Oryctolagus cuniculus: one gene and its partners. The protein of the gene in region 3 interacts with the protein of the main gene of each other region in a biochemical or structural test. Links are inferred from orthologs where the notes say so. Each region holds a gene or a part of one and is shown on either strand. Other genes may lie near its edges.

Region 1 (10,211 bases), on a different chromosome or scaffold from region 3:
AATAGGCAATAAGAATGCACCAGGTTCTGAGTCATTTGACTTATGTGGAATAAATTTAAAGTAATAACTAGCATTTATGTAGTACATGATGGCTTATATAGTACTTTTCATATAAAGAACCACAGAGAAAAGCAAGGATATTATTGGCTCTTGTTTGTTGATAGCCTGAATTATCTCTGAGTTAAAAATAAAGGGCAGATGTTGGGCCTGGTGGTGACAGATACCTGCATCCCATAGCAGAGTGCCTAGGCTTAATGGTCCTCACCTGTTGTGCCAGTCTAACTGTGGCATCAGCACACACACACTGACTGCTGTGCGCACAGCATCTCCTGGTATAGCAGGCAGAATAGCCAAGGTTTCAGGAGAGACGCACAGAATAGTAAAATCTATTTTTTAAGTCAACCATACAGAAAAAAAAAAATACCTGTCAATAAAAGGCTGCGTGCTGTGGCTTTTCCAAGGTCTCTGTTGTAGGCAAACCCATGTTCAGCAGCCATGGGTCCTCCCCTGGGGAGCAGGTGGCTGCCCCAGGAGTGGTTTCAGCTCTGCCTTCCTGGAAAGGGAGATTTCTACTGCAGACTGCTGGGGGGTGCACCAGGGAACTGCTGGCTTGGTTGCTGTAGAAGAGGCAGAATAATGAAACTAACCTACACTGCCTCTAGCAATCCAGGCCAGCTCATAAGCCTCGCTGCATCCCCTTTCTAAGAGCCCTTTCTTTCCAGGGACCTGGGAGACAAGACCAGGCTGGAACTCGTGGTGGGTTATGTATCACTTTCCAGAATCAGCTTGCTTGCTTTCTTTCTTAAAGATTTTATTTATTTATTTATTTGAGAGGTAGAGTTACAGACAGAGGGAGAAACAGAGAGAAAGGTCTTCCATCTGCTGGTTTACTCCACAAATAGCTGCAACAGCCAGAGCTCTGCCAATCTGAAGCCAGGAGTCAGTAGCTTCTTCCAGGTCTCCCATGCAGGTGCAGGGGCCCAAGGACTTGAGCCATCTTCTGCTGTCTTCCCAGGCCATAGCAGAGAGCCGGATCCAAAGAGGAGAAGCTAGGACTAGAACCAGCGCCCATATGGGATGCCAGCGGTGCAGGCAGAAGCTTAGCCTGCTAGACCACAGCACTGGTCCCCAGAGTCAGCTTTCTTAAAACACCTGTTAAGGGGTTAAGAACAGAACACCTATAGGCCCAAGATCAAATTTCACCTGAAACTGAGGATATTTATTTACCATAGGTTCCTCCTCTGTATCATTTAGATGGGGTTCTTTGCTTAAGTTTCTACTTGCTACTTGTTCCCGGGTCCATAAAGCTATGGGAGCATGAGTGGATTTGATTTTATTTCTCCCTCCCTGCACAGTGTCCTCCTGGCAGTAGCTTGGAGTAGCAAATCAATGGCATGATGTAGAAAAGAAGGGAAAACCAGATATGTTTTGTTAGTGTTTTCCAGGTTGAGCCCCCTGTTTTGGCAAGTAGAGTCTCCCTTAAAACAAAAGCATTGCAGGTGAAGGAGGAATGAACAGTAAGTAACTCCCGTCTAGACTAAAGGTGGACCCTGCGGTGTGCCTGCCACAAAGGGGGAAACATATCTCACACCCTTCTGGAAGCTACATCTCTGGTCATTTTCTTTCATTTGAGCGCTGAAATCAGCAGTCCTGGGACCCCTCTGTACCATGTCATTACTCTTGTAGATAGCAATGTGTGTTAGAATTGAAGACTTTGTCCACAATGCAGTGAGCAAACATAGGCACAGAAGCTTTTGTGCAGAGTTTTGAGTTATAATTGGTAACCAAGTTGATTTAGGCACCTCTGTAGATGTGTTTGTATGTATGTTTTCACTTGGGGAGACTAAAGAGTTGGAGAAATTCATGTCTACCTAGGACTGCATCTGTACTTTCTGGAAAGGAGGTTGTCAAAATTGTATATTCAGAGGGCAATAAAGGATCTTTTTTTCCTTCCATCAAGAGTGGTGAGTGTATGGGGCCAGCATTGTGGTGGAGAGGGTTACACCGCCTCCTTCAATACCGGCATCCCATAGGGTGCCCGTTCAAGTCCAGCTGCTCCACTTCCATTCCAGCACCTTGCTAATGCTCCTGGGAAAGCAGCAGAGGATGGCCCAAGTGCTTGGGCCCCTGCACCCAGAGGAGGCTCCTGGCTCCTGGCTTCTGCCTGGCCCAGCTCTGGCTGTTGGCAGCCATTTGGGGAGTGAACCAGCAGATGGGGGATCCCTCTGTCTCTCTCCTTCTCTGTCTCTGTAACTCTGCCTTTCAAATGAATAAAGTAAATCTTAAAAAAAAAAAAATGCGGCAAGTGTAGCATGGTAGAGGTATAGCAAGGGTGATCTGGCTGTAATAGCCTCACGTTTGTTTTTCTTCATTTTTGTGTTTGTCTGTAGTGCCCTTCACAGCAGCCATGATATAGTTCTACGAAGAAGCTACTTGGGAAGCTGGGGATTTAGTATCGTTGGTGGCTATGAGGAGAACCACACCAATCAGCCTTTCTTCATTAAAACCATTGTCCTGGGAACCCCTGCTTACTATGATGGAAGACTGAAGTGAGTGTCGCGCTAGTGAAGGATCGATTGTTGTCTGTTGTGCCAGACGCGGTCTAGACCAGGGGCAGTACCGCGCGAAGCCCTGTCGTCGATTTCTATAGATAAACCGTTAGTGCTACCCACACGTGCTCATTTGTGGCCTCGTCTGTGACTGCTTGCGCACCCCAGCGGCAGAGTCGAGTCCTCGTGCCAGACACTGTGCAGTTTGCAGCACCTAAAACTTACCATCGGGCCCTCAACGGGGAAAAATTTGCCAGCCCCTGATCTAAGCTGAAGTTTCTCTTTCCCATCTTGTCTCTGTCCATCGCTGACGGGACCTGGGCCTGTGTCCTTCAGACGCATTCTGATCGGGCAGCCCGCTCGAGTCAGGTGCAGGCCTGTCATCATGACTCTGCTTTACGTTCCTCCGCAGCGCTCCTCTCTGCCTGACAGCGTGTTTACCCAAGCCCCGTGAGGGTGGGATTCTGTGGCTGTATTGTTCTGTCCTCAGCAGTCTGACTGTGCTTTGCTTAGAGTAAGAACTCAATAAATCTTGGGTGGACAAATGTGCAGAGGCTTCCAGTATGCCAGGCCCAGCGCTAAGTGCTGTGCGGGCGTTATTTAATCTTCTTAACAACAACCCTGTGAGGTTAGTGTCATTACTATTCCTGCTTTTCAGACTCGATAACTGAGGCTTGTCCAGGATCAAGTGGCTGAAAGTGGCTGGCTGGCACACAGACCAGGCCGTCTGGCCCCAGCGCCTGGCCTCAGCCCTCTGCTAACTGCCGCCACCGGGCAGAAGGCACTTGTCCTGCCAGCCACAGCCACTTTTCTTTTCCAAAGCTTGGGCACTAGGAGAAGAAAGAGAAGGTGCCAAGAAAATGCCTCCACCAGGGGAAGAGGCTGTGTGTTAGCTTCTTAACGGCCTCGATTCTGATGGAAGAAGCGGCTCTTAAGAAGGAGACACTGACGTGCTGGACGGAATCCTGCACAGCTAGAGCACTACCTGTCCTCCAAGAGAAAGTGGCCCCACACACTGCTGTGACAAGTCAGGCAGGAGCCGTGAGCTCCAGGCCAGTCTCCACTGGTAAAGGTGAAACATCTTCTCAGTCTAGGAAGAGTAGGGGAACACTGAGCTGCTCCTCTTAGCTGTGCTGCTCAGCCAGGCCTGGATCAGTTTGTCAGTGTACATTCTGCCCACTTCCGAAAAGAAATTAAAGTCGATACCACTGAAACGGCATCTTCGTTCACGTTACAAACTGAAGACCAGAACTCCTAAGGCTACATAGGATCATTACAGCCATAAGGCTAGAAGGATCCTCGGATTCACCATCCATCTATGGTCATGCTGCTTAGAAGGCATTGAGTGCCATTAGCTGGAAGAAGAGGAAGTGCGGGTCTTATTCTCAGTTTAGTTCCACTCTTGGATGTGTGAGCTCTGAGGACAAAAACAGAAATACAGTCAGAACAATAGCCAGTTCCCTTCAAGTGCATTATTCGTTGTTTCTTTAAAAGAGGGAAATTATTCTGCATGTGCTTAAGATGTCACCTGCCAGTTATGGGAGTAGATGGCCCAAGGGGCGCAGGTTGGTTGGCAAGGGGAAGCCAGCATGGGCCTCAGAATCGCCCCAGATGGCTCTCACAATAAGTGACATTGCAGTTTTCACCCTAAGCAAATCTCAACCGGGATAATGTTTTTAATGCCATGGAAATGGTAACGTTCTGTTTCTGTCTGTCTTTGTCCAGGTGTGGAGACATGATCGTGGCCGTGAACGGCCTGTCCACCGTGGGCATGAGCCACTCTGCATTGGTTCCCATGTTGAAGGAACAGAGGAACAAAGTCACCCTGACAGTTATTTGTTGGCCTGGCAGCCTTGTATAGGTCTTGGAAATCGGTTGCCAGCCTTGCTTGCATCTTCCTTTTTCAGGTTTTTGAAAAAAAACCTTTTGGTTTCGTTGTGTGTCTGGTTCCGCACTACTGGCACAGCTGGTACACACGGGGCCAGAACCCACCGTGATTGTCCTTCTGTTTGTACTTCAATCATTTCTGTTAGCTCCGAAGCAGTCTTCCACTCACCCTTATGAGCTTGTTTTGTTTTTTTTTTTAATTCAGACAATCAGTTGTTTAAAAATATTACTTACAGTAGTGAATGAAGCCCCCTCGAACTGTGACCCGGCGAGCTGATGAAAGAATTTCTGGTGGCTCGGTCTTCAGTACCGAGTCACACAACAAGTTACATATCCCAGGACAGGCCTGCCGTGAGTGCATGCCTTTCAAATACGCGTGATAACCATTTGCCATTTTTCATCAGTGCCAACATTTCAGAACTTCATCCTGTTTATAATTTCTCTGGTATGTGTTATTCCTACTTTAATCTCTCAGTACTTAGAGATGATGCAGACGTAAGTCTGATACCACTAAATAGACTTTAAAACAAAAATAGGGAACTATTATTAGAATAGTAGAGAATAAAAGATGTTATCCAATGACAAAGGAATTTAGAAGGTAATGATAGTTTAGTGCTGGAGATGGAGAAAAGCTGTGTTTACTTGAATAGTCCCCAAGCATTAAAGATTTACTTCCAAAGGAACATTTTGCTATGTGGGAAAAGTTTGAAGCAGTTTTTGCTAAAAATCATTTCTAGGGTTTGTGTTATACTCACCAGCAATCTTGGCTGGACATGTTTTTGTGATTCATGTAATTAAGCTAGATGATAAAGCTAAAACCATATTGCTGTTAAATATACAAACATATATCGCAGCTAAGTAGAAAGGAGACCTCTTTATTTTACTCAGATAAGAGTCTTTCTTGAGTGTCTTAGAAACCTTTATATTTCCTATTATTTCTTATGAGCCTAATTGTTTCAAACAAGAGTCAAAGCAGTTCTGTTTTTTCTCTGAAATTGTAGATTTTAGATGTTAATGTCTTTGAATCAGCTATTGGTCACTAGACTATTTCATATTTTTTTAAATACTATTGAAATCTATGGCCTATTTTGTTTGTCTTTATTCAATATGGTTGTCCTTTGGAGAACACATAAAGGAGTGAATAAGAAAAATTTTTCACCTTCTTAATAATTATGCATACTTGAAAAAAATGTTTCCCTTAGAAACCTAGTTCAGAATCTGAGCTAATTTACAAGTGACCTCTGTAATAAATGGTATTGATCATCAGAGAATGTATTTGAGAATACTACCGTGTATTATGAAGCATGAACACTTTATCTTCAGACTTAGCAACTGCATTGCTGGGGTTAATTGTATCCGTAGCATGTCACTCACTGATTATTACAGTTTTTATAATGACTTTTTAAAACATATGTCTTTGGAATAAATAAGAAATTAGCGACAGTAATTGCTACCGACCTTGATCCCTTAGTTGTGCTATATGGTCAGCCCGTGACCAAGAGACAGTGGAGTGCCCATACAGTATATTACTGTTATGTGATGACTGGCTTTTGAAGCTATTGAATATTGCAGTGCTCTGATGTTCTAATGGACACGGAACAAGATTTCTTTCTGCTCCCCAAATGGAATTTTGTAAACAATTTTGCTATTTTTTTAAGCTGTTTATAAAGATGTGTCATTTCTTAGGGAGGGGCTGTCCATCAACAAATATCATTACTACTACTTACATTCAACCTGGTGGTATAGTGTTTTGAAAGAAGACTTTTTTTCATTGTTTTTAATCATGGAAATCTTGGAATCAGCTTCAGTGTCTAGATATTACAACAGAAGACTACAGCTTTTGGTAAGAATGATACTTGGTGACGGAAGCTTGTTCGTAATTTATTATTACTATTAAAGTACTTGGATTTTTCTCACTCTCTCACAGTTAAATATTTTGATTTGTCCTGTGCCTTCAGTTTAAATTATTTCAGGATTTTTCAGATGTGTTTAAACAATGTTGTGATAATCGTTCAGGATGGAAATAAAAGTCATCCTTTCTGTAAAAGTGACCCTTTCTCCCTTCTTAGAAGACAGCAGATGTTAACTCAACTTCGGATCCTCAGGACCACAAACGCACCTGCGTGTTCTCATTCCCGTAGGCAGGACCCAGAGAAGCTACTGGCATGCGGGATTTTTACCAGCACAGCACCTGTGGGCCGGCGGTGTACAGTGTCCGTGGCTGCTGAGCACCTGCAATGTGACCAGGGCTCGATGTTGGGCCCACAGAGTCCACCATCAGAGTTTAACTTCACCAGTCGCTCCTTACGTATTCCGATGTGGCTCTGGAACATTTCTTCATAACGCCTGATCCCTTCTTTGGTAATCCAACCTGTCTTCCATTTGTCCAGAGTTGTTGATAAGCCAGGCCACCAGCATAGACTGCTGCCCCGCTCACAGACCAGCAGTTCATGAACTGAGTTTTTTTTTTTTTTTCCTTCTCTGCTGGGGGAAGGGAAGGTTTCAGCCCCTGGGGGTCCTTAGTAGGTAGCTCTTTTCGCCATTTTCTAGTGTAAATCTGTTCCATTTAACCGCACTGCCAATTAATTTCTATGGCAACACAAGCTCTTCAGAAGGCAAGTTGTGCATGTATGTGTAATACCTAATATCTACAAAGTGCCTGAAATAAGAGAGGCTAGAACTTGAATGACATGCAAGCATAAAAGACTAGCGTGGGCGCTGCGTTGGAGAAGCAGTGCATCGCGGGTGGCAGAGAGCGTGCCCTCTCCCAGGAGAAGGTTGGCTCAGCCCAGGGTGTGGCTGACTGGGAAACACTGGGAGATTGTCCACCTGAGTTCTCCTAACACCCACAAACATCACTTTGAAGACGGGCTGTTTCACACACTTGGGTCAGTGCTCACCGTGCTCCTTGAATCCAGCCAACCACAACCCCCTTCTGAGGTTTCCCGAAGACTGACCAAAACGGTCAAGTTAGAAACGTCTGTTGCTTAGACTGGGGGAAGAGGAGCGGCCATTGTCCAGTGTCCTGCTTGTAATGGTGGGGCAGCTGTTAAAGATTTTATTACCTTTGCCCAGATTTTATTGGAAATTTAAATCTACAACCTACTCTGCAACTAATCTGAGGCTGTCTCAGGTCGTCGACTCGTGCCTGAGCCTCCCCACCAGCAGACTTCCCAGGGGAGTTACACTCCAGCGCGGGTTTGTAGGGTGGCCCTTCTCTGTTCCCATTCCTTCCCCGGGGCGCGGGCCCTCAGGGTGAGGGCTCAGCTCCTTGCCAGGCCTCCCAACAGCCCTGGACCAGACACCTACTCCTGAGGTCTAGCTTGTGCTAAGCTAAATGGGCACCAGAGGAGGGTGGGGGGTGCTCACTGCCACAAAACTTACTCTGAACAAAATCAGTAAACGTTTGAGGAAGAGGAGATCACGCCACCTCTCCTGTCACTTCGAAAGATGGGATGTCCTGGTGTCATCCGAGTCCCTACACCCAATATAGTCATTTCCCCCGTGGATCCCAAATCAGAGCCGTGGAATTGGAAGTGCCTTATCCATCCTTCGGGTGTAGGGATCATTCTGTGACATGGGCATCTCTTGCTCGAATGCTTCCCACGACAGGGACCTCCCCACCTCATCCCATGCTTTTGTTCTGTTGGGGCGTGTATATTTGTAAGCGCTTGTGTTTTAGTAATGGTTTGTCCTATGCCCTCTCCCTGGCTTGAGTGTCGAGACTGGGAGGAAGACAATAGCTTCATTTATTACCTCTAATATTTAACTAAGAGGGATGCACGGTACACAAAACATTTCTTGATTCCTCTTTTTGTTCCACAAATATGTACTGGGCCTCGACTATGAGTGTGCGCCAGGCACTGCTTGAAGGGGCTCAGAATCCACCAGTTCCCAAGGGAGTTGTTGCTGCCTCTGTGCTTACATTGTAAAGAGGGGACGTAATCAAGGCTAAGAAGGAAGAAACGTAATCTCTCACGGGATAAATGGAGGGAAGAAAACCAAGCAGGTAAACGAGGAAGGGAGGTGGGGAGGAACCATGCGGAGGACGAGGGCAGAGAAGGGGCACTGAGGAAGCACTCTTACCTGTATGAGAAGAATGAGCCCTTGCTCAGTTGCTGTAAGTTCCCAGGAGTGTGGCTGACGCCCTGTGCTAACTGGTGGTGGGTAGTTATGGCTAGAACTCACTCCTGGGAATAATCACAGCAAGTGACATTAATTAAAACAACTTTTAGGGTGCCAGCGCCGTGGTGTAGTGGGTAAAGCCGCCGCCTGCAGTGCCAGCTTCTCATACAAGTGCCAGTTTGAGTCCCGGCTCCCGCATTTCCTATACAGCTCTCTGCTATGGCCTAGGAAAGCAGTGGAAGATGGCCCAAGGCCTTGGGCCCCTGCACCCACATGGGAGACCCAGAAGAAGCTCCTGGCTCCTGGCTTCAGATCGGCCTAGCTCCGGCTGTTGCAGCCATCTGGGGAGTGAACCAGTGGACGGAAGACCTCGCTCTGCCTCTGCCTCTCTGTAACTCTGCCTTTCAAATAAATAAATAAATCTTTAAAAAAAAAAAAAAAAAACTTTAGAGGGTGGATGTCTGGCCTAGCAACTGAGATACCATTTGGGACACCTGCATCCCATATGGGAACACCTGGGGTTGAGTTCCAGCTCTACTTAAAAGATTCCAGCTTCCTGCAGACCCTAAGAGGTAGCAGGTGATGGCTTCCTGCCACCCACATAGGAGACCTGGTTCTCAGCTTCAGCCTGGCACAGGTGGATGTTCAAGGAGTGAACTAACAGGTGAGGGCTCTGTTCTCTGCCTATCAGAGAAGTAATAAAGCGACTTTCAGAGGTTCCTCTGACCTCGGACATCTGGTCACCCTCCATATTTTATGTTTCCCTAAATACAGCATGCTAGTCAGCAGGTTCAGGCAGCATCCTGAGCTGCCCAAGGACCAGGCTTCTGCCAGGCATGCCTGGGCCTGCTGATTGTCTGGTCTGGCCCCAGCCCTGCCAGCCCTCCAGCTACCCTCGCGTTTCCATGGTTCCCATCACAGCACACAGACCACACCTGTCCTGCCTGCACTCTGCAGCTGTGGACTCCACAGTCTTGAGTATCCGAGTACCCCTACTCAGCTAACGGCCCCTGCCACGTGGCACCCATGCGACGCCCCTGGCTACAGAAGCCAGGGGAGAGGAAGAGAAGCAGTCCCTGGGCTTACCTCCTCCATGATTTAGGGGAATAGATTCCATAGCCTGGGGGAGCTGGGAAGTCCGCCGGCAGAGGGTCACAGGGTGGATGCCGGGGCAGCCAGGGAGCACGTGGCTGCTCATGCAAGGAGGGTGGCAGAGTGCGCAGGTGCCTCGGCTGAGATGACTTGACGTCCAGGATTTGCTTTCCAGCACTCCCGCAAGCAGGGGGGAAAGAGTAAGGGAACGGACAGGAGTAAGGGAGGCTTGGAATTCCCGTAGGAGAAGTACATCAATGGCGGCAAAGCCTCCACAGTCTGGAAGTGAGAGAAAAGGCTGTCACTCAGGCCCCGTGGTTGGAAGTTGGTAGAGCGCTCATTGCAATTCCTGCTCGCACCTCTGCAATTACGTCTTCGCAGAGACTGTGTAAGATGAGAACTTGACGTTGCAGAACTCCAGCAATGCAGCTTCTCTGCCTGCAAAGATGCCCTAGGCTTTGGTGGCGAAGGAAGATTACAACAGTTAACACTGATTGGCAGCTGAGTATGTGCCAAGCCTTTGTCCACTGAGTCCTCATGACAAATGCCCAAGGGAAG
Region 2 (10,939 bases), on a different chromosome or scaffold from region 3:
CTGGCTCTAGCCTGACCTGGGCCTAGCCATTGTGGTCATTTAGGGAGTGAATCAGCGGCTGGAATATTTCTTTTTTCCCCCTCTCTCATCACTCTGCCTTTATAATACATAAAATAAATCTTTTTAAAAAATAGTAAGAGCTACACTGGAGGATGAGCCAGGAGCTACCCAGGACGGGTGGATGTGATCATGGCAACATCACCCAGGGACACCTGTCCTGAGGAGACTTGAACACAGAGCAGCTGGGCTCGGGCTCACTCCCCAGACAGAAAGGGGAGCAGCAAAGCCATGGGACAGGTGGGCTCCGGGGGACAGAGCGGTTAAGGGACGGGGTGACCATGCCCCTCTAACAAGCTGTCACTAGGGTCTGGGCCTGGAGGGGTCAGGAGATGTGTGTGAGCCTGGTGGGCAGCCAGGCACAGACGGGGCAGAGCATCTGGTGCCAGGCCAGGGAGAGGAGCTTAGGGACACAATGGCAGAGGGGCTGAGCGGGAAGACCGGCAGGGAGATGGCCAAGGACGGTGACAAGGCGACATCCTCAGACAGGAGACTTTGGGTGCTAACGAGACCTGAGGGGTGGCCCTGAGACTTGCTGGCTCGCGAGGAGCAGAGGGCAACGTTGCTGTCGATGTAGCCGGGGAGCTGACACTGCTGGGGCTCCCAGCATGGGGAAGCCCCCGGGAGCAGGCCCCAGGGACCAAGCACGGGGACACTTGACATCTTCCATTTATGGAACTGGCTCAGCTAAGGGAGTGGCGGAGGAAGACACAAGAAAGAGACACAGCGTGACAACCGTGGGGCAGCACGGAGCTCACGTGGCGACATCCGTGGCCCCATGCTGTGGGCCAGGTGAAACATGGAGACAACAGTAAGGTTCCTTCTTGCTCTGCTAGGGGAGATGCGCTGGCCACAGCCCTGTGCGGGAACCCTTGACCGCACGGGGGCCGCCTTCCGCCACTGCTAACTCCCCCCCCACATCCTCCTGTCTGCTCTCCCCCAGCCCCCAGGCTACATCAGCATCTCCTCCTGAGCTAGGGGTGCCCATGGAGCTGCTCTGCCAACCACACAGCATAGGCATTGAAAAGTGGCTGCTCCACTTCCCATCCAGCTCCCTGCTACGGCCTGGGAAAGCAGTAGAAGATGGCCCAAGTCCTTGGGCCCCTGCACCGGCGTGGGAGACCCAGAGGAGGCTCCTGGCTCCTGGCTTTATCTTGGCACAGCCCTGGCCATTGTGTCTGGAGAGTGAACCAGTAGATGAAAGATTCTCTCTCTCTCTCTCTCTCCTTCTTTTCCTGTAGCTCTACCTTTCAAATAAATAAATAAATCTAAAAAAAAAAAAAGTGGAGTCTCTGGCCAGCGCTATGGTACAGCAGGTTGACCCCTCCCTGCCTGCAGTGCCGGCATCCCATATGAATGCTGGTTCAAGTCCCAGCTGCTCCACTTCCAACCCAGCTCCTTGCTAATGTGCCTGGGAGAGCAGCTTGGGAAAGTGCTTGGGCCCCTGCACCCAAGTAGGAGAGCTAGACGGTGTTCCAGGCTCCTGGCTTTGGCCTGGCTCAGCCTGGACCGTCCTGACTGTTGGGGGCAGTGAACCAGCAGATGAACGATCTCTCTCTCTCTCCCTCTCTCTGTAACTCTGCCTTTCAAATAAATCAAAGGAAGGGAGGGAGGAGGGGGGAACCCACCCACACCCACAGAGCCAGGTGACATCATCACGTCAACTGTTATCTCATTGTGACTATCATTTCCCACAACTCTCCTGGAATCTCTTCATTCGCATCATGCAGAGCACTTGTGATTCGCTGTGAGCACCGCGCAGCTGAGCTGCTTGAGGGAGACGCACAGAACTGATGCCTGAATACGGCGTGTGTCAGTCTACAGCAATTCTGTCTCATGCGCAAAATACCTCCCGAAATCAGAGCAAGAGAGGCTTTTTCTAGACATAACTTTTATGAAAATCACATGAGCTCTGTCGATTTTGTTGTCCCATCTCTACAAATATGTCATGGAGAGGGAGGGGACAGGCAGCATAAAAGGGGCAGAGTAATTCTCCCAGACCGCAAGGCACGGCCAAGGCAAGAGGTCATTGCCAGGCGAGGTCCTTGGGAGTGTCAGCCTTCATGGCTTGCAGAGCAGACCTCCTGCTTCGGATACAGAGACTTCAAACCAATCCAGAAGCCCGAGCGGCCGGCTGGCCAAGGAGCACAGGCCCGACCTTGACTTCAGAGAGCTCGCTAATGTGTTCCGCCTGTCTCTGCGGAGAACAAAGCTTCCAGCACATTCTGGCCATGGAGGAGGCTCATTCCGAGAGACAGAGAAGAGCATGTGGCCACCGACACGGCACACCGTGGAAGAGCGGCCCAACGCGGACCACACCGTCACCCTTCAGAGACGACCCCGTGCCCCAGACGCTGGGTGTCTCTCTCTCTCATGTGAGCCATTAATCCGCAGAAGACGAGCAGCCAGCGGGAAGCAGTCTGTCCTAGGGGCTCCTGAAGTGCTTTGCGACCTGGTCCCACGTCGCCCATCCAAATTCTGCACCCGGAGGGCCCCTCCCTCCAGCAGGGTGCACACACTGTCCCCCACCCCTCACGGGCTCCTCCCGACACACACGGCTCTGATCACCACTGCCTCCCCCCACGCCCTAATCACTACTGCCTCCGCCCACGCCCTGCACTGGTTTATAGTGGAAATTAGCGTTACTTTGTCCCACCTTATCCAGCTGAGCGCAGTTCCACATCCTGATGCCTGTTCTGGGGAGATTTTCAGATCTAGAGAGGCAAGGGGCTACAGGGAGTTCTCTCAAGGGGCATCTCAAGCTGGTCTCCCCTTTCTCTGCTGGCACCATGGGTCCCAAATGGATGATCCCAGTGCACAGGAGTGACGGGTTTGGTGGTGTGTTTTGCCACCGATACAGGAGGGTACTTCAAAAAGTTCATGGACAATGGAACTCAAGTTTACTTGGGTGCAAAAATTTTGAAATGCCTGCACATAAGGTGTCCTCAAAAAGTTTATGGGAAACGTGTGTGATGAAAAAGTTCCGTCGTGTTGGCTTTGTGGCACAGCAGGGTACCCACCTCTTACGACACTGGCACCCCTCATCAGAGCCCTGAATACAGTCCTGGCCGCTCTGCTTCCAATCCAGCTCCCTGTTAACGCACCTGGGGAAGCAGCAGAGGACGGGCCAAGTGCTTGGGCCCCTGCACTTATGTGGGAGACCTGGTTGGAGCTCCAGGCTCCTGGCTTCCATCTTGACTTACTCTGGCTGTTGTGGGTATTTGGGCAGTGAATCAGTGGATGGAAGTTCTCTCTCTCTCTCTCTCTCTCTCTCTCTGTGTGTGTGTGTCACTCTACCTGTTAAATAAATAAATAAATCTAAAAAAAATATGGATTTCCAATTTTTGTACCAACATAAACTTCTCTTCTAATTCCATTTTCCATGAATTTTTTCTGAAGTACACCTGTAGGCATAAGTGCACTGCTAGGTCTAATTGTTCCATACAAATAAACCCCATGTATCAGCCAGGCTACGCATTAATTCACCGAGACTTCCCTTCCCAGAAGCTACCCTCTGCCCCCAACCCCAGGCACTCCCCTCCGAGTACCGGATCCCGGCGAAGCCGCAGTGCTGGCCAGGAAGGTGCCCGGTCAGTGTGGAATCAGGAGCCTCCCCGCCTTTCTTGCCAGTGGCGAAGCCCGTTCTGCTCCACCACGTGCTGGCTGAGCCGTCTCCAGCAGCTCCTCGGCCTCTCTGTGCCTGGGTTCTCTGAGCTGCCGCGGGCAAACAGCAGGAGGACCTGCCTTGGAGCACCCACGAAGTGCTCAGAAGAGCAAGCAACACGTGGGGAGGACCCAGCCATTCAGTTCACAGGATGTTTTTTTAAGAGGCAGAGAGAGACACACAGAGAGAGCCCCCACAAAAGCTGGGGAGCCAGGGTCAGGCTGAGGCCAGAGGCCAGGACCTTAACCCAGCCCCCCCCCCCCCCCCCCCCCGCGAATGTGGCAGGGACCCAGGCACTGGGGCCATCAGTGCTGCCTGCCAAGGCCTCAGCGGCAGGAAACTGGGGATCAAACCCAGGCCGAGATGCAGGACGCACACAGCTTAACTGTGGGGCCCTGATTCTTCTCTCGTTTCCGCCAATGGTTTAGAAATACACGGGCCGCGACCCTGCAGGGGCCCCAGTGGCATCACCAGGCCCATGTTCACCTCTGCTTACCCCTTGGGGATTATGCCAAGTCCAGGAGCTCCCCTGGCTTTCCGCCCTGTCTCCGGTTGCTCCACTCTGGTCTACCTTCTGTTGTGGTTTCTTCACCAGACCACACGGGCAGCGGCTGTGCAGGGGAAACCAGCAGGGGAGGCCCCACTGAGGCTCCGTCCCTTTCCGCAAATCCAGTCCCAGGCGCCGCCCTCCCAGGTGTGCCCAGCGCCCTGGGCCCCAGGTGAGGCGTGACTGACAGCGCGTGGGGCGGGGCCTCGTGCAGGGTCGCCGGCTGGGCGGCCGGCCCTGCCCCTCTGAGACCCATATCTGAGCAAGGCAACCTTTGGATTCTCAGCTCCGTACGGACGGGTGGGCCCATGCTTTTTCCTGAAACGCCTGCTTTTTTTTGTTTGTTTTTAAATCACGCAGGGGCAGCCACACCTACGTTAGTTCCACTGGGCAAAGTCGGGAAGAAAGAAGTTCTTTGTGCCTATTTGAAAAGCTCCGGGCTGTCCTCTGAGCGCGCGCGGGGCGGCCGGGGGAGGGAGCCGGCGCGGCGGCAGGTGCCACCCCAGCCAATCCGCCAACCGGCCGGACCCCCGAGCCCCCGAGCAGCAGGACGGGGAACTCCCACGCTTGCTTTCTTCAAGGGGGGAGCACGTGTCTGCGGGCTGCGGGCGACCTCGGAGTCCGGCTGCAGGCGCCGCAACCCAGCCCCGGGCCAGGGTCGCGCCCCGCGCTCCGGAGCGCTCCTGCCTGGCCCCCGCGGCACGGCCGCATTCCTGCGCTGGCGCTGGCACCTGAGTCACCGGGCGCTGCTAATTGCGCGCCCATGGTGGGTGGCTCATCGGTGACTCGAGCTGGCAGGCCAGCGCAGGTGGGAATGCCGGGCGCTGCGCAGATTCCAGACGGCCGGATTCAGATGCCCGAGCGTGCGACGCAGAATGTGTTTGGAGAGGCGGGGGTCGTGCTGAGGTTTCTGGAAAGTGGTTTTGTTCGTCGCCTCCAGCTTGTCCAGAGAGCCAGGTGGACGCCACTCAGAAGGGCATGGGGAGAGTGTGTTGAGGGGGTGGACTGCAGATATTTCTAAGCACTCGATCTTCGCAAACTGGTGCTCTCTGCACCCACCAAATCGCTGCCTCATTTCGAGGTTTCAGCTCCCCTTCGGATGCCTGGGTGCCAGGCAGCCAGGAAGTGCCAGGGGGAGGAGCCGAAGGAATGACCAGGTACAGGCATTCAGATCTGTACACGGGGCTGGACACGTGCCGGACGCAGAAAGGAAAGTAAATTCCGCCTGGCAAATTGCTCTAACTGATTCATTTGTCCGCGGAAAGACGCCACCTACCAGCTCCCAGGTATTCAGGTAAATGACAGGTGGGCGGGACCTACTGACTCCTGCAGTCGCTAAGGTCTCTGCAATGCTTTATCTGCCCGGGCTTCCGTGACGTCACACATTTCCTGCTCCGGGCCAACCAATGGCCTCCTCCTTCCCCCAGGCACCTGTACGCTGAAGTTGAGGCTGGTCACAGTTCAGGCGGCCCAAGCAGCTCCTCTGTCCACCCAGGCGGGACGAGAGCTTCCTGGCTGCCGCTTCTCTGGGAGCCCCGAGTCAGAGCTGGACAAGGTGAGTGGAGCTCTCTCTTGGCGTGTGGACCACCAGGGGACGGAAGGAGGCGTTTGAATGGGAAATGGGAGCTGATTGGCTTGGCCCTGGCCCTGGGCCCCGGCGGAGTGAGTCTCTGGACAGCCGAGAGTGGACGGATGCCTTGACATTCTACCTGCGCGGTGAAGCCGTCCCTGGCCTGACACTTGATCCGCTCAGTCTGGCCTAACCACTGGTCCAGCCCCGCCAGCTCGTCTGTGACGTTGATCTGATTTTTTACAACCGAGGGAGGGGAGCAGAGGGAGACATCTTTGAAACCTGGCTGCAAGGCGCGGACCTGTTCAGCCCGTTGGGGGGGGGGGGAGGGGAGCCGGGAGGAGGGCGTTCAGAGCGGTCCGGCTCTTGCTCTTTTGTTCTTGTTTTATCTTGCTGCCTGCATTCGTCACACCGAGGCGATGTGGATCTCGTGCCGAGATCTTTGCTTGTGTCCTTCCAAAAGTCTGCTCAGGTCCCTGCCCCGGCCACCAGTCTCCCTTCCTCTTTCCTCTTCAGAATGTTGGAGCATTCTCTTTGCTCTCTGTTGAAGGCCCTCTTAGGAACCACCTTGCAGACTGTCCTGGGATTGTTCACATCCAGAGCCGGGCTGGTGCCTGCTGACTGCTGGCTCACGTAAAGCTGTTCCCTCGGGGCCACCGCAACAGAACTTTAGGTCTGAGTTTTAATTTGGGGGGACGCTCCTGCTTTTTTCTCTTTTGCCTTTTCTTTTAATTGCAAACACAGCAAGAAGGTCGCTCTGCCAAGACATTGCTTAAGGTCATTTTATCTCTGGGGTCCGTATTTGTTTTCTTCATTCCGGTCACACGACCTGGGCTGCTTGCACGCTGGGCAGCCTGGCAGCCACACTGCCCGTCCCGTGCTGTTGCAGGAATGATAGGAAGTATTTCCAAACGCCCCTTCCGACTGCGGTGAGCTGGGAAGTTGGGGAGAGTGAAGTCCACCTCATTCCGGAATCCTCATGGGCTGACTTTGAAACTTAAGTTAGCAGCTGCGAGGAACACTCTGTTGGAATTACGCTCCTACGCGTTGCCCAGAAATGCAAAAATGCATGTAAATTCTCCAGGAGTATGAACTGGAACGAGCCGAGAAAAGTTCTGCCCTAGACGGCTGCTTCTTACCGCCTGCTCTCCTTGCCACTGTCTCTCTTGCCCCTAGGAAGCTCCCACGGCTCTTCCTTCACTGAGCTTTGCGCCTGTGACTTGTATGTGTTTGGGGAGTGGCTGCTGCCGGTCTGTTACTGAAATTCTTATTTGATTCGGAACTCTGCCGTCAGAGAAAGGCCCCCGGATCCAGAATCTTCCTGATAAAAACGTGTTTCTGGAGCTATTTCCTGTGCTTTGCCGTGGTTGGTCGATTCTTTTTGTGGGAGTCAATTTATGACCAAAGGATCCTTCCACTGCTACCTGTCAGCGTCTCTGGCTCAGAACAGGACAGAGCTGTGCAGGCTTGGTCCCCTACAAAGCCAAAGTGACAGAGTGGGATTCCGAGTCAGGATGACCCTAGGGCTCGGCACCTTTGGGCTGCTTTGCACGCGAGCGCTGTCCGGAGTCCCCATGGTGGCCACACACCTTGGTTCAAGTGGATATAAAGCCTGCCACGGACAGGGATTGAACAGTCCTTGAGTGGGGGACGTCACTGACCATCAGTGACGTCATCAGAAAGACAGGAGATACTGTGACCGAGCGTGGTCCTGAGAAAGGAATTAGGTCACACCCATGTGCAGGCTTCCCAGTGACCTATGCCTGTGGCTGAGCGGGCACCCAGGGAGGGTGGAGCCTCCGGCCCGAGGGTGGCCTGAAGGAGGTGGTCAGCCCCTCCCAAGATGCGAGATCTCCGGTGGCTGCTGCGACTGTTCGGGAGCCTGACCCTTCCCTCCGGTTGTTGTGATCGGTTGAAAGTAACCAGGAGGCGGGAGGCAGTGGGGCCACGGCTGACTTTGTCCACCCCAAGGTTCCCACCTGTCGCAGTCCCACAGAACGGGGTTCTCGGCAGGCCTGGCTGGGGGGGGGGGGCTGCGCACTGTTCTGTGGCCTTCGCCAAGGCTGACTCGGCAGGAGACCCCTCCGTCTCTCGGGGGCCCTCTCCAGTCTCGTGGGCAAGCCCCCTTCACCCCAGCCTGGGACGCAATGGTGCCAAAGCCACTGGCGCGGAGGGCAGCTGGTTTGGGGCCTGCCCCATGTCATGGCAGGGCAGTGTGTGGGTCAGTTGGACATGATTGCCCTGAATGGAATACCCTGTGCCCCTCGGAGACCCCGAGTCACTGCATAGGAGCAGGTGTGTTCCCAGGGCCCTGCGGCCCTTCCTGGTCTCACCTTACCCGAAAAGGATAACACAGATGGCCAGCATTTGGAGCGTTTGGCACAGTGGCTAAGAACACTTGTGATGCCCACGTCCCTATCAGAGTCCCTGGCCCAAATCCTGACTCTGCTTCCCAGCTGGCTTCCTGCTAATGCGCACCCCGGGAGGCAGCCAATGAGGGTTCAAGCACCTGGGTCCCTGCACTCCCATGAGAGACCCGGATTGAGTTCCCGGCTCCTGGCTTGGGCCTGGCCCAGCTCAGCTGTTGTAGGCATTTGGGCAATGGACCATCCATTGCTGGGTGGGGAGGAAGTTATCTCTCTTTGTCTCTCTGCCTTTCAGATAAACGCAGTGAATAATTAAAAATAGGGGGGCAGGTGGGAGAGAGGCCTAGTGGATTGAGGCCGTGGCTTCTGACCTTGAACCTGTCGCTGCTTAGGTCACCGCAGAGAGAATCTTCAGCCTCCCTGCCGTCGGTTTTCTTGCAACGACGATGTGCTGGGTCCTCCCCAGAGGCAGCTGGGTGGGCTGCACCCGCCGGACCACCCTGAGGGGCGGATGAGCCCCCCAAGGAAATGTTCGTGGGGTTCACTGAATGACAGGCCAGAGAACCGCGGTCTTGTCTCCTGAGTGCCTGCTCCGTAGTGCGTGCTCCGCCAGTGTTGGCCTTGTTAAATTATTGCGGGAAACAGCTTCACCCTGGGTATGGCGACCCGGCGTCCGTCCACGTCCGTCCGCGCGCAGCAATGATAGACGTGGTGGGAAGTCAAGGTCGAAAGACTGAGCAAAGCAGGTTTGCCTGAAGGCGGCAGCGGCCTGGTGGGGAACCGCCTGGCAGAGGTGGTCTTGATCACCGTGGAGCTCCAGGCCAGGGAGCTGCCAGCGCGAGCCTGGTCTCTGCAGTCGTGCGGGCCGTGGGGCTGGGTTGTGAGAAACAGTGGATCTCCCAGGAGCCGTGACCCCTGCCTTCACACCAGACACAACGCCTGCCTGTGGCCAAAAGGAGCCCCTTTTTAATTGGCAGCCCTCGCTGGACGTGGAGAGAATAAGCCTGCCGGGTGGAGGGCTCTCCCCCCACCCCAGGCCTGCTCGCTGCCCCAGCGGGTGGGACTCTGCCTGGTGCCCCGGGCCAGCAAGCCACACGCACACTTTTATGTGGGCAGCGAAGCCATTGTCCTCTGACAGGGCCTCTTCAAAACGATTTGCGGGGAAGACAGCATCATTCTGCCCGGGTTAGTGAGGTTCAAGCATTTCCTGTCCCCAAAGACTAAGGGTAGGCGGGAAAACACTGCGAGCCGCAGAGCCAGGAACCTGCATGGAGCTGAACCGGGAGGAGAGGATGCGGGCCGTGTCCTGTAGGCGCATGCCGTACCTGTCTCCTGTAGGCACGTGCTGTCTCCTGCAGCCCTCCTGCATTCGCCGGTGGCTCCTTGTGCTCTGTGTGCCGTGCGGGCACCACTGCGCCCTGCTGGTTACCTTCACAGGCACTTCGGCTCCCTACGGGGAAGAACGTTCTATGGATTAGCATTGCCACGAGTGCCAGAGGTGGCCTCCGGGGCACTCAGACCTTGCCACTGCAGCTGGGCTCTTTGGGGCACACTGAGTCCATGTAGTGCCTCGTTTGCGTTTGGGGCGGGTGAATGAATGAATGAGTGAATGAGTGAGTGACCTAGAGGATTCGTATTTCTCCAGCATCACCTGTAGGCAGGCGGCTGGGAAACGGCAGTTGCACTACTGACCTCAGGATGGCTTTGGAGGTTAAATGTGAAACACACGCCAAGGAACAAACTTTTTGCATACTTATTGCATAACAACACGGGCAGTTTTCCTTGTCTGGTCTGTTCTGATTCAGAAGGGAGAGAAGAAATGCTTGCTTCGGGCTGGGGGTAGACAAGATGGCCTGCAAACCGCAGTGCCTGTGGCCATCGCTGGCTCTTCCTCCACTTCCCCGCCCTGGGGAGCTGCCGTCCTTGTCTCACGTTCCTCCAACAGCGCTAATAGGTTCCATCCCAATTAGCCAGTGACATTGTTTCTGTAGCATCGCTAATTTGCGACTTGGAATGCGTGGACTTAAATTCCACCATGATTCCCCAGTGACTCTTGTTTGCTTCTTGTGTCTGATGCGTTGGTCACAGGGACACGAAAGGCTGTGCCGGCAGCAGAGTGGAAGCGCTCCAAGCATTTGCTGTAATCGCCTCTTGGCAAGTGCACGGTGATGCTGAGACCTAAGAATGCCAGTGCTGTCTGTTTAGATGATTTGCATAACTCGCCTATGACTGCTGTTGTCAGTCACATGGCCCTTTCGGAAAAGAACGTCACACACTCGGCCTCAAGCAGTGAGTCACCTTGTGTTTGCAAGCTCCTCGTTAGGTATCACGGTCATGCCTATGTCACGGCTTCCTCTATACACACACACTCAGCCGTCCGACCTGTGGCTCCTTCCTCCTGGAGGCTTTTGTCGATCTGGTTTACCAGTTGTCTCTAAAGATGTTTGTTATTCTGACTTATTCATGGATTGAAAGCAAATGATTATATGTTCAGCCTTGGGCAGAACTGTGATCCCTAAGCAAGTGCCTGCCCCCTGGAAACACTGCTCCCTAAGCCACGTTGAGCAGTGCTGGGTGCCTCACTGGGGTGGTCTCCCCGTGCTGAGCAGTGCTGGGTGCTCACTGGGGTGGTCTCCCCGCTCCTATGTGAGTGACCCTGCAAATACAGGGCTGCCTAGGACTCGGCAGCTTCCAACAACTCCGATCTGTTCTTGCACCATTCCGGGGGCCCGGGG
Region 3 (10,787 bases):
AAATGAGAGCAAAATGCCTGCAGTAGCAAGGTTTGCTACTGAGAGGTCCAGGCTGCCCCAAGTGTGTAGGGACTTTCTCTTGGGAAAGGGGGCCACTTTCTCCTCTGGGGCTGGAGCATACATATGTTCACAGAGAAGAGCTGGAACACACCTCTACTCAGAGACTGTGTAGCTTTCCCAGATCAAAGGTAATAGAGAATCAAAGTAGTTACTCTACCCTTCAACAAATGTTTGAGTTTACACAATGCTAAAAAACAAAACAAAAACTTATGAAAAGCACCATGGCATACAGGGTATGCCTTCTGTTCTGTAAGAATTTATGGTCCAGTAGGGTAAAAGTCAGTAGATTAACTGTCATTCTTGTAGAATATACAAGCTTCCTATGAGCTTCCATTCATCAAATCCTTGAAACCGCAAAGCTGAAATGTTCACCTGGGAATCTGTGGTCAAAAAAAGAATGAAGTCATAAGCATAAATAAGTATAAGAGCAGAGACTGGTGTTGTGGCATAGCAGATAAAGACACTGCCTGAGATGCTGGGAACCATATGGGTGCTGGTTTGAGTCTCAGCTGCTCCACTTTTTTTTTTTTTTTTTTTTTTTAACAGGCAGAGTGGACAGTGAGAGAGAGAGAAAGGTCTTCCTTTGCCGTTGCTTCACCCTCCAATGGCTGCCACGGCTGGCGCACCACACTGATCCGAAGGCAGGAGCCAAGTGCTTCTCCTGGTCTCCCTTGGGGTGCAGGGCCCAAGCACTTGGGCCATCCTCCACTGCCTTCCTGGGCCATAGCAGAGAGCTGGCCTGGAAGAGGGACAACCAGGACAGAATCCGGCGTCCCGACCGGGACTAGAACCCGGTGTGCCGGCGCTACTAGACAGAGGATTAGCCTATTGAGCCGCGGCACCAGCTCAGCTGCTCCACTTTTGATCCAGCTCCCTGCTAAGGCACCTGGGAAATCAGTGGAAGATGGCCCAAGTTCTTGGGCTCCTGCACCCATGTGGGAGACTCAAAAGAAGCTTCAGGCTCCTGGCTTTGGTCTGGCCCAGCCCTGGCTGTTGTGGCCATTTGGGGAGTGAATCCGCAGATAGAAGATCTTTCTGTCTCTCCCTCTCTCTCTGCAACTCTGCCTTTCAAATAAATAAATCTTTATTTTTTAAAAAAAGGATAACAGTAAATACAGACACACCTATGTAGTATGTGAGATCATGGTTAGTAACTCTACATTCTCTCCTTGTTTTAGAATATTCAACAATGGGGCTGGCGCTGTGGTTAGTGGGTAAAGCTGCCACCTGCAGTGCTGGCATCCCATAGGGGTGCCGGTTTGAGTCCCAGCTGTTCCACTTCTGATCCAGCTCTCTGCTATGACCTGGAAAAGGCAGTATAAGATGGCCCAAGTCCTTGGGCCCCCATACCCTTTTGGGAGATCCCGAAGAAGCTCCTGGCTTTGGATTGGCGTAGCTCTGGCCATTGCGGTCAGTTGGGGAGTGAACTAGCGGATGGAAGACCTCTCTCTCTCTCTGCCTCTCCTTCTCTCTGCATGTAACTCTGACTTTCAAATAAAAAAAAATCTTTTAAAAAAAGAATATTCAACAATGACATTTTTATAGACCTTTTCCATTTTCTCCACTAGATGTGAGGAATAATTCCTTACTTTGTAAAGGAATATTACTGCTTATAAGACAGATTTGCAGGACAACAGTGTTGGTATTATTTTTCCTTTAGATGACTGCAGGTGGCTATGCCCCTGATTCAAACCACTTTAACTCCCTTTTCCTTCCACTAAAATGGTATTTTTCATCCCTTTAAATTATGTCAATCTTCTTCTCTAAGATTCTTAATTCCCCCTTTTTTCACAGCTTTTTCCTTTGCTACCTCTGTGATTTTGGCAAACCACCTAAGCTTTGGGTCAGTATTAACATCCATAAAACAAGGGAATGAGATATCCTGATCTCTAGAATTCCTTCCTGCCCTAATATTCATGGAAGTAACAGTTTTCAAATTTGCATTTTTATCAGAACCACTGATAAGAACTTATTAATAATGTAGGTACTTAAACTTCACTTCTATAGATTTTTAATTTGGCAGGCTTAGAATGGGATCCCAGCATCTGTATTTTTAAGTGAACATCTCTAGATGTTCTAATGTACAGCAAAGTTTGTTCTATGAGCGTTTTATGAGATCTGCACTCTATTGATTCAAAAATAATAGAGTGAAGCGGGCTTTAAATAGGTGCTATAAGAAAGAACTTCCCAGTTGACATCAAGAGGTATTTTCAACAAGAGACGACTTGAAATCGTCAGAACCTAGGAAGATGAGATGACACCCTGAGGAAACTCAGAGATGACCAGGTCCACCTGGAATATTTTCACATCTAATGCAGCACTGTGAGGGAGAATTATCAATTGGCAGTAGAGTTAGTTGACTGAGTTCAAAAGAGGAAGCACAGTATAGTAAATGTAAAACAACTTGGGAATGATTATTTAAAATGAAAAATTGTTTTCAAACTGTGGTGGTGAGAATAAAGTTTTGATTTAAAAAACAGGTGACCTAGTTTCGTAGATGAGTCTTAAAATATAGGTTTTGTGTACAAATATTTCTGTACATTTTTTATTTATTTATTTTGACAGGCAAAGTTAGACAGTGAGAGACAGAGAGAAAGGTCTTCCTTTGCCGTTGGTTCACCCCCCAATGGCCGCTGCAGCTGGCGCACTGTGGCCGGCGCACTGCGCTGATCCGAAGCCGGGAGCCAGGTGCTTCTCCTGGTCTCCCATGTGGGTGCAGGGCCCAAGGACCTGGGCCATCCTCCACTGCACTCCCAGGCCACAGCAGAGAGCTGGACTGGAAGAGGAGCAACCGGGACAGAATCCAGCACCCCGACCGGGACTAGAACCTGGCAGAGGATTAGCCTAGTGAGCCACGGCGCCGGCCTTCTGTGCATTTATACACCGACATTGTATACATGTGTCTGTGTGATGAATCTATCTGGAATATTAAAGTGTACTTCAAAATAATAAGTGGAGGCTGGTGCTGTGGTGCAGCGGGTTAAAGCCGCGACCTGCAGTGCCGGGATCCCATATGGACGCTGGTTCAAGTCCCGGCTGCTCCACTTCCGATCCAGCTCTCTGCTATGGCCTGGGAAAGCAGTAGAAGATGACCCAACTCTTTGGGCCCCTGCACCCTTGTGGGAGACCGGGAAGAAGCTCCTGGCTCCTGGCTTTGGATCAGCTCAGCTCTGGCCGTTGCCATCATTTGGAGAGTGAACCATCAGATGGAAGACCTCTCTGTCTCTACCTCTTTCTGTAACTCTTTCAAATAAATAAAATTAATCTTTAAAAAAATAAGTGAATGGTTGACAATTCAGTAATAGCCCAGTGCTTGAAAACTTTTGAAATGTATTTCCTATAATCTCTGTCTTTAGGATTACTATCATTAAGGGTTTGAGAAAGCCAGAGGATAGAACACAATTGTGAGTTGTGCAGCTGATTCGGGGATATTTAAAAATATTACACGGAGTTCCTTTAGAGCTTTTTCAATCATTTACTCCTTGTCTAAGATCCTTTATGCAAAAAGTGTCTTCCAGAAAAGAAGCAAATACTGACTCAAGACCTTAGGGAGCAGGAAAGAAGCCTAGGGAAACACAGAGATTGAGTTGGGGAATCGTCATTCCAGGTAAAAGCCAAATGGATACTAGGAGATCCATTCATCTCCACCAGGCACCTCCTCACTACCCAAACGAACACCAAGTAGTACCTGCCTTAGTCCTAATGTGCCCTTTACACCTTATAGCTTTCCCCATTTTTTAGTGAACTTGTCTACCCTTTTGCCATGAAAAGCTGCTAGGAGGGGATCTCAGTAATCCCTCTGATGCCGAGGAAGCTTGGGTCATGTCTTTAAACACAACTTTATGCAACAAGCCAGGCTCTGCACCTGTCTTCCCAATCCCTGGGCCACCAGCCACCCAACCATGTCAATTGTTCTAGAACTGAAGGCTCACCAAGGTACGGCTTATGTAATAACTATAATCCCCATGGGTATTTAAGCTTGTTTTATGCCTAAAATGAGCCACCAACTCTTTCCCACTTATATTTCTAAAAGGATGACAATCTCAATCCCTTGTGATTTCCAAACTTTTTTTTTTTTTTTGAACCACTCCTGATTATGGAGACTCCTTAATACTGACCTCTGAGCTAATTAACAGCCTGGTGTGATTCTTTCAATTTTCCAGTAACTAATTAGGTAGTTTCTCTAGACAGAACTGACAACAAATGGGTAATTTTAAAATCAGAAACCAGAATCAGAGAAGGCCAAGACAGATAAGGCGGTGGAGGTGGGGTGGGGATGAGAGTCCAGTTTCTGCTGACAGAATACTGGGTCTCCTTAAATCCCAACCATTGTGGATTACCTGAAAAGTACCCCTCCTCCAATTAGTAACAAATAAATAAAAGTAAAACTTGCACAGCATCCGTGTTTGCACCTCGGGAGCGAGAGGGAGCGAGGCTTCAACTATAGCCACCGCACGAACTCACTGCCAGGCACCTGTTAGGTACACGCTTGCAGCTAGACCCCAGCCTCCAGCAGCTTCGCACCTGCATTTACTCTGCAGCCAAAATGGACTCTCTTCCAGCCTTCTCAGCCCAGCATCCGGCATCCGACCCACCACGGAGACGCGGAACCACAGCCTCACTCTCAGCCACGTTGTCCTTTTCAAGGCAGATTTAAGAGCGCCCCCCCACCCCCGCCCAGACTCTCCGTCTAGAGAAAGAACTGCAGTGGTCTCCCCGAAGGCAGAAAGCGAAAGGTGAGGGAACACACGGGGAGAAGAAAACTACCCACTCGCGTCCCTCCCTACTCACCCACGCGTCTGCTCCGGGTTTCCCCTCCTCCTGCAGGGGGGTGGCGGTCAGGTGAGGTTACCTGGGCGCCCCGAGGAGCCCTAAGGGGCGCTGCAGCGCTTCCTCTCGAAGTCGCCCCACTCCCCGCCGGGCCCCGGGACTCCTGCCCCTCTCCCCCCCGCGCGCGTCCCCGGCCCCTCGGGCTCCGACGCGCAGCGACAGCCGCACGCGGCGCTCGGCTCCCCTCCGCCGACCTGGCGTGACGCAGGCGGAGACTACTTAAGGGCGGATTAGAGGCGGCGGCCGCGGATTCCCCAACCCGGCAGGCAGCTCGGCGCGTTCAGCCCGGGCCTCACAGGCGCAGCGCGGGAGTGCCAGGTGCCTGCGGAAGTGGCAGGCGCGGGGGCCGGTGCCGGGACCCTCCCGCAGCCCCCTAACCTTTGGTGCCCAGCGGCTCCCAGAGAGACCTGTCTCGAGCGGGCGAGTGTTCTTGGACCTGCAAGCTGCCAGCCCCGCCCAGCCCCTCGTCCCGGCCACTGCGGGACCCAGACCCGACCCTCAGACGGTGCGGCAGGTTCGTGCCCGCTCTCCGAACCGCACTAATTGCCCCATCAGTCGGGACGCACTTGGATTTCTTTCCCCATTTCCCTCTTTTAAGTACAAACAAAAGGGAGAGGGATCGTGGATTTTTAAAAAATTTGTTTGCTTTTTAAATTGGGGGGCAATTCTCTCCCGGTCGGGAGGTGCGGCCCCGGGGAGGGGCCAGGAGCAGCGAGAGCGTGCCCGGTGCTGCCCAGTCTTTGTCTGCTGCCTCCGGATGCACAGCGATGGGGGAATGGACCATCTTGGAGAGGCTGCTGGAAGCAGCGGTGCAGCAGCACTCCACTATGATCGGGAGGTAAGGACGCCAAACCAGCCGTCCGCGGGCCCGTCGGGCGGCCCCTGGGAACCCCTCCTCAGTCGAGACAGAACCCCCACAGCTCCCAGGCCGTGCTCTGCCTCTTCCTCATCATTATGGGTCCATGCACCTGTGTTCCCGGCATTGAAGGATTACCCGATGCCTAGAGATTCCACCCTTCTCCAGCTACTCCGACTAGGTTCCCCAATCCCTTCCCTGTAAAGCACCCTGGGGGAGGTGGTTCATTCTTCCCTTATCAGAAAAGGAATTGTTGGATCAATCTTGGTCCCCCACTCTCGAGAGTCAGAGCCAATCTCCATCCGGTTCTCTAAATAGCATCTACAAAGAAGGCAGGATTGCATTTGGACAGAGAAGGGCTAATGGGGAGATGGATTTGCTCTTCAGAGCAGGTGCATGTTTTCCCAACAGTTATTAAACAAAACTGATATTTTAGTTAAAATATAGTTGCAGGAATCTACACATACAACTGACAGTTTTGTGTGTCTATATCTCGGTCCATATCTATTTTCATACATATATTCATGCATATATATATGAACAAATATTCATGGCTATCCGTTTCTACATATCATAAAGTTAAATATTCATATTGAGATTAGATTAAAATATACACATGGAATAGTTATATACACACACTGTAGTAACTGAAACATACACTATCTGTTCAGATATTCTGTATGAATTTGCCAAATCCAAAGTGAATGTGTATTTGGTGTCTCTATGCATCCCACAGATAAGGATGAAGTCTGTGTGTTGCAAATAGATCATCTCCAGTGTATGGTGATGAGTATGGCTGGGATCCTTGTAATTTTGAAGAGTTCTCAGCTCAGTAGCACCCAGGATATAAGGAAGAGTCAAAATCGTTTCCTGTTTCCCAGTTCAGTACCACACAGGGATGGACAGCTCCCCTGTTAAAGGACTGGTGATCACCAGACCAGAGAAAGGAGGAGCAGGGGTTTCCTACCAGTGACGCAGCCGGTGAGAACCTCTCTCCCTCCCTCTTCCCCTTCTCAGGATCCTGTTGACTGTGGTGGTGATCTTCCGGATCCTCATTGTGGCCATTGTGGGGGAGACGGTGTACGATGATGAGCAGACCATGTTTGTGTGCAACACCTTGCAGCCCGGCTGTAACCAAGCCTGCTATGACCGCGCCTTCCCCATCTCCCACATACGTTACTGGGTCTTCCAGATCATAATGGTGTGTACCCCCAGCCTCTGCTTTATCACTTACTCTGTGCACCAGTCTGCCAAACAGCGAGAACGCCGTTACTCTACTGTCTTTCTATCCCTGGACAGAGACCCTCCAGACTCCATGGGGGGTCCTGGAGGAACCGGAGGTGGGGGAAGTGGTGGGGGGAAACGAGAAGATAAGAAGTTGCAAAATGCCATTGTCAATGGGGTGCTGCAGAACCCAGAGAACCCCAGCAAGGAGACAGAGCCAGATTGTTTAGAGGTTAAGGAGTTGACTCCACACCCATCAGGGATGCGCACTGCAGCAAAATCCAAGCTTCGAAGGCAGGAAGGCATCTCCCGTTTCTACATTATCCAAGTGGTGTTCCGAAATGCCCTGGAGATTGGGTTTCTGGTGGGCCAATACTTTCTCTATGGCTTCAGCGTCCCAGGCTTGTATGAGTGTAACCGCTACCCCTGCATCAAGGAGGTGGAATGTTATGTGTCCCGGCCCACTGAGAAGACCGTCTTTCTAGTGTTCATGTTTGCTGTGAGTGGCATCTGTGTTGTACTCAACCTGGCTGAACTCAACCACCTGGGATGGCGCAAAATCAAGCTGGCTGTGCGAGGGGCCCAGGCCAAGAGGAAGTCAGTCTATGAGATCCGTAACAAGGACCTGCCCCGGGTCAGTGTTCCCAATTTTGGCAGGACTCAGTCCAGTGACTCTGCTTATGTGTGAAAGGGGAAGGCCTGGGGAATAGCAAGTAGCCTCAAAGCAGATGACTGTTTAAGGGTGACTATATCTGCCCTCATGTATGTGACTCTCACCATCAAGATGTAGCATACCTAAGACTCATTAAGAGAAGATCTTGCATCAATAGGATAGCAGAAACAGCAGAACCAATATCATGTGGCACATCCCTGTTGCCACAGAGACAGTTGGGTACTGGGATGAGATGGGTGAATTGGATTTCTTTGGTCCCTCTTCTTTTATGGGCCATCCTGAACTTGACAACTATGAAGTTGCACAGCTACCATGTAGGCCTGAGCTCTGCTGAGCTCTGTATCCTGGTGAATGGTGGGAGTCAAACACTTCATTGATACAAAATTTGTGAGCTATTTCAACACTTATCCCTGTATCCTGGGCTGCAGGACAAACATTCTTGAGGATCCTTTATGTATCTCTCCATTAGCATGTCCCTTTTCCTCAACCCAGGACAGCATGCCAGCTTTTTTTTCCTGAATCTGGCCTTACATTAGACCTAATATGGTTTATCTGCAAGCTAGAAGGAATTACATGGGGTGCTTTTTGAAGAGTGGCCATGGCAAAGGTTTTCATTTGAGCCCCATATGACTGGCCCATAGTCATTATGAAAACCTTAGGAATGTCTCATTATTTCCAGTTTTTAAACTCAAACTGCACTGGTGCTGTTTAATAGGGTGGGGATGGGTGGGAGGGAGGGAATTACAATATGCAACTTCTGTGAGATGGTTGTTGCACTATTAGGCATGTGGTTGTGAGCTTCAGGATATTTCTGCCTTCCAGCTTGTGGACTTTTAAAAAATATATTTTTTGTTAATATCGAGGTTGTCTGCCTGAGCCACAGAATTTCTAACTGGTGTATCTCACTCATTTTCTTATATAGTTATGTTGTGAAACACACCTGCACATCATTTTGCCATGGTTTGAATTTACCTGTGTGCTCACACCAGAGACCTTAATCAGCCCATGTCAATCCTGATTTATTATTTATTATTTTTGAAACATATACACAATCACTGGCCTAAAAAACATGGATCTAAACACTATTGGCTAACATGTGTTTACGGATGCTTATATGAGACATATACCAAAGGTTCAAAAACCTATTGCTTTGGACTGTGAATATGATTCCTTCTCTTTGCTCTTATTTATTTAAGTGCCATATGTACCTTCCACATCCACTGTGTATTTAGTTAAAGCATTGGCCAAGAGTAATATTTGGATAATGTGCTTTTATGAATCCCTCTGGTTTCTTTAAATTATCATTATCATTTTGATTTAGACATGAACATGATGTAATATACAACTGAAAATTTATTTAAAATAAAGTTCTTGCCTTTTTTGTAAAATGGGAAGAGTCTGAACTTTTCTATTTTGACTGAGGTCCTATTTATTTAAATAAATGTTCAAAAATATTATAGCAGCAGAAGAATGGGGGTAGGAAGTGAATGATAAAGGAACAATATTTGATGATCAATAAAATCCAACTAGCCACTCAGGATGAAGAGAGGGGAATAATGAAGCATTCAAACAGTAGTTGGTGGTTACTAACTCATTTCAATGTTAGCTCTGCATTACTCTGCTTGTTTAAGTATATTTCTTGTAATACAGATGTCAATACTGTATCATATTGGCTCATTTTAGGATTGGATTTTCCTCCCTTTCCACCACATTTTTCCTGCCATGGGTTGTTATATTTGGCAAGCATGCTCTTTTCCCCCAAGACCTCTTCAGAGCCTGATGTTTAACATGATATTAACCCAGTAGTCAAAGAAAATCATCTAGATCAGTACAATCCCATAGAACTCTATGAAATGGTGAAAATTTCTTCTGTGTTGCTCCATTAAGTCAATGACTACTCATATGTAACTGCTGAACTTTTAAAATGGAGTAGTGCAAATGAAGAATTGAATTTCTTCTTGTTCAATTTTAATTAATTTAAATACGATATATCTTTAGTTGATGCTGTGTTACAGGCATGTTCTAGACTTCTAATCAATCATTTCTTATTTTGTTCTTCAAAAGGGATTAGTCCTTTACTTACATGTCATAAGAATTTTTTTTGTCACAACATTTACTACCATTTTTGGCACTTTCCACTGAGATGTAGTCTCATTAGTTCAGCAGGCTAATGTTCTTCCTCACTTCTTTAATGGGTATCCTCTGATTCCAGTGAGCACTCAGATTGAACATTGCACAGCAATGTGGAATTTCCTGGATGATTACTTTCAATACACAATCATTGCACCCTTTAAACAATGGCAATGTGGATGCCAATTTTAGAAGGAAAATATGTTTATTTCAATGTATAGGCTTCCATTGGCAGTATAAATAAGCAGCTGAAGATAATTGTCCTTGAGAAAAGAAACAGCTCCTCCTTTGTTTTGTGTTTGGTAAGCTAAAAATGTTTGAAGACACCTCTTAGAGATGGAGGAAGAGTGTTGCTTGAGAGATCTTAGCATATGCTTGGGTGTGAAAGAAGTAGGAATCTGTGTGGAAAACAAGGTCTGTTGTATTTCTGCCTTGATGTAGAATTAGAACAGTAGTGCTTCCTGGTGGAAATGCATCCTAGATCTGTGGGGCTCATCTATTTCATTTCTCTAATGTTTCCAAACACTCACAAATAGAAAGATTATTAATTCACTTGTCATTTATGGAGTGTGAAACACACCCACTCTCAGAGTATAGTCACCCCTCACATTAGTGGCAGCCTTTGATTCATTTGCTTTCTATCTAATGAAGAAATCAAGCTGATGATTTGATGGCTCATGCAGCTACGTGACGGATATGACCTAAACTGTATTTTGTGAGAGGACAGCATCTATATAATCTTTTAAATTTGAGAGTATCTTGGTGAACTGCAGACCCTCTTGGCCTGTGTATGGGCACATACATGTGCATGTATATGATCAGGTGCACCTGTGTGTGTGTGTGGTGTGTGTGTGTGTACTTTGTTTTAGTTTGTGACAGTGCATGAACTAGAGACTAGCTGGGAAGAATGAAATTCCTTAGCCTGAGAAAAGAAAAGCTGAAAGAAAAGAATTTTACATTTTAAAGCCCTCAACTATTTAAAGTATTAAATATGAAGGATAGAAACTGTACTTG

The links.
Region 1: the proteins of GJD2 (region 3) and LNX2 form a complex in vitro, tested with the Homo sapiens proteins (2 studies listed by BioGRID and IntAct, with this or other methods). The link is inferred for Oryctolagus cuniculus from reciprocal best matches to the Homo sapiens genes GJD2 and LNX2.
Region 2: the proteins of GJD2 (region 3) and LNX1 form a complex in vitro, tested with the Homo sapiens proteins (2 studies listed by BioGRID and IntAct, with this or other methods). The link is inferred for Oryctolagus cuniculus from reciprocal best matches to the Homo sapiens genes GJD2 and LNX1.

What each region holds. Positions count from the first base shown.
Region 1 is NC_091440.1:86,987,561-86,997,771, forward strand, and holds the end of LNX2 (ligand of Numb protein X 2), read left to right. Parts: intron 1-2,390; coding exon 2,391-2,549; intron 2,550-4,274; coding exon 4,275-4,410; 3' UTR 4,411-6,483; downstream 6,484-10,211.
Region 2 is NC_091439.1:110,327,417-110,338,355, forward strand, and holds the start of LNX1 (E3 ubiquitin-protein ligase LNX), read left to right. Parts: upstream 1-5,683; 5' UTR 5,684-5,823; intron 5,824-10,939.
Region 3 is NC_091443.1:57,652,820-57,663,606, reverse strand, and holds GJD2 (gap junction delta-2 protein), read left to right. Parts: upstream 1-5,596; 5' UTR 5,597-5,657; coding exon 5,658-5,728; intron 5,729-6,763; coding exon 6,764-7,658; 3' UTR 7,659-9,056; downstream 9,057-10,787. UniProt on the Homo sapiens protein: One gap junction consists of a cluster of closely packed pairs of transmembrane channels, the connexons, through which materials of low MW diffuse from one cell to a neighboring cell.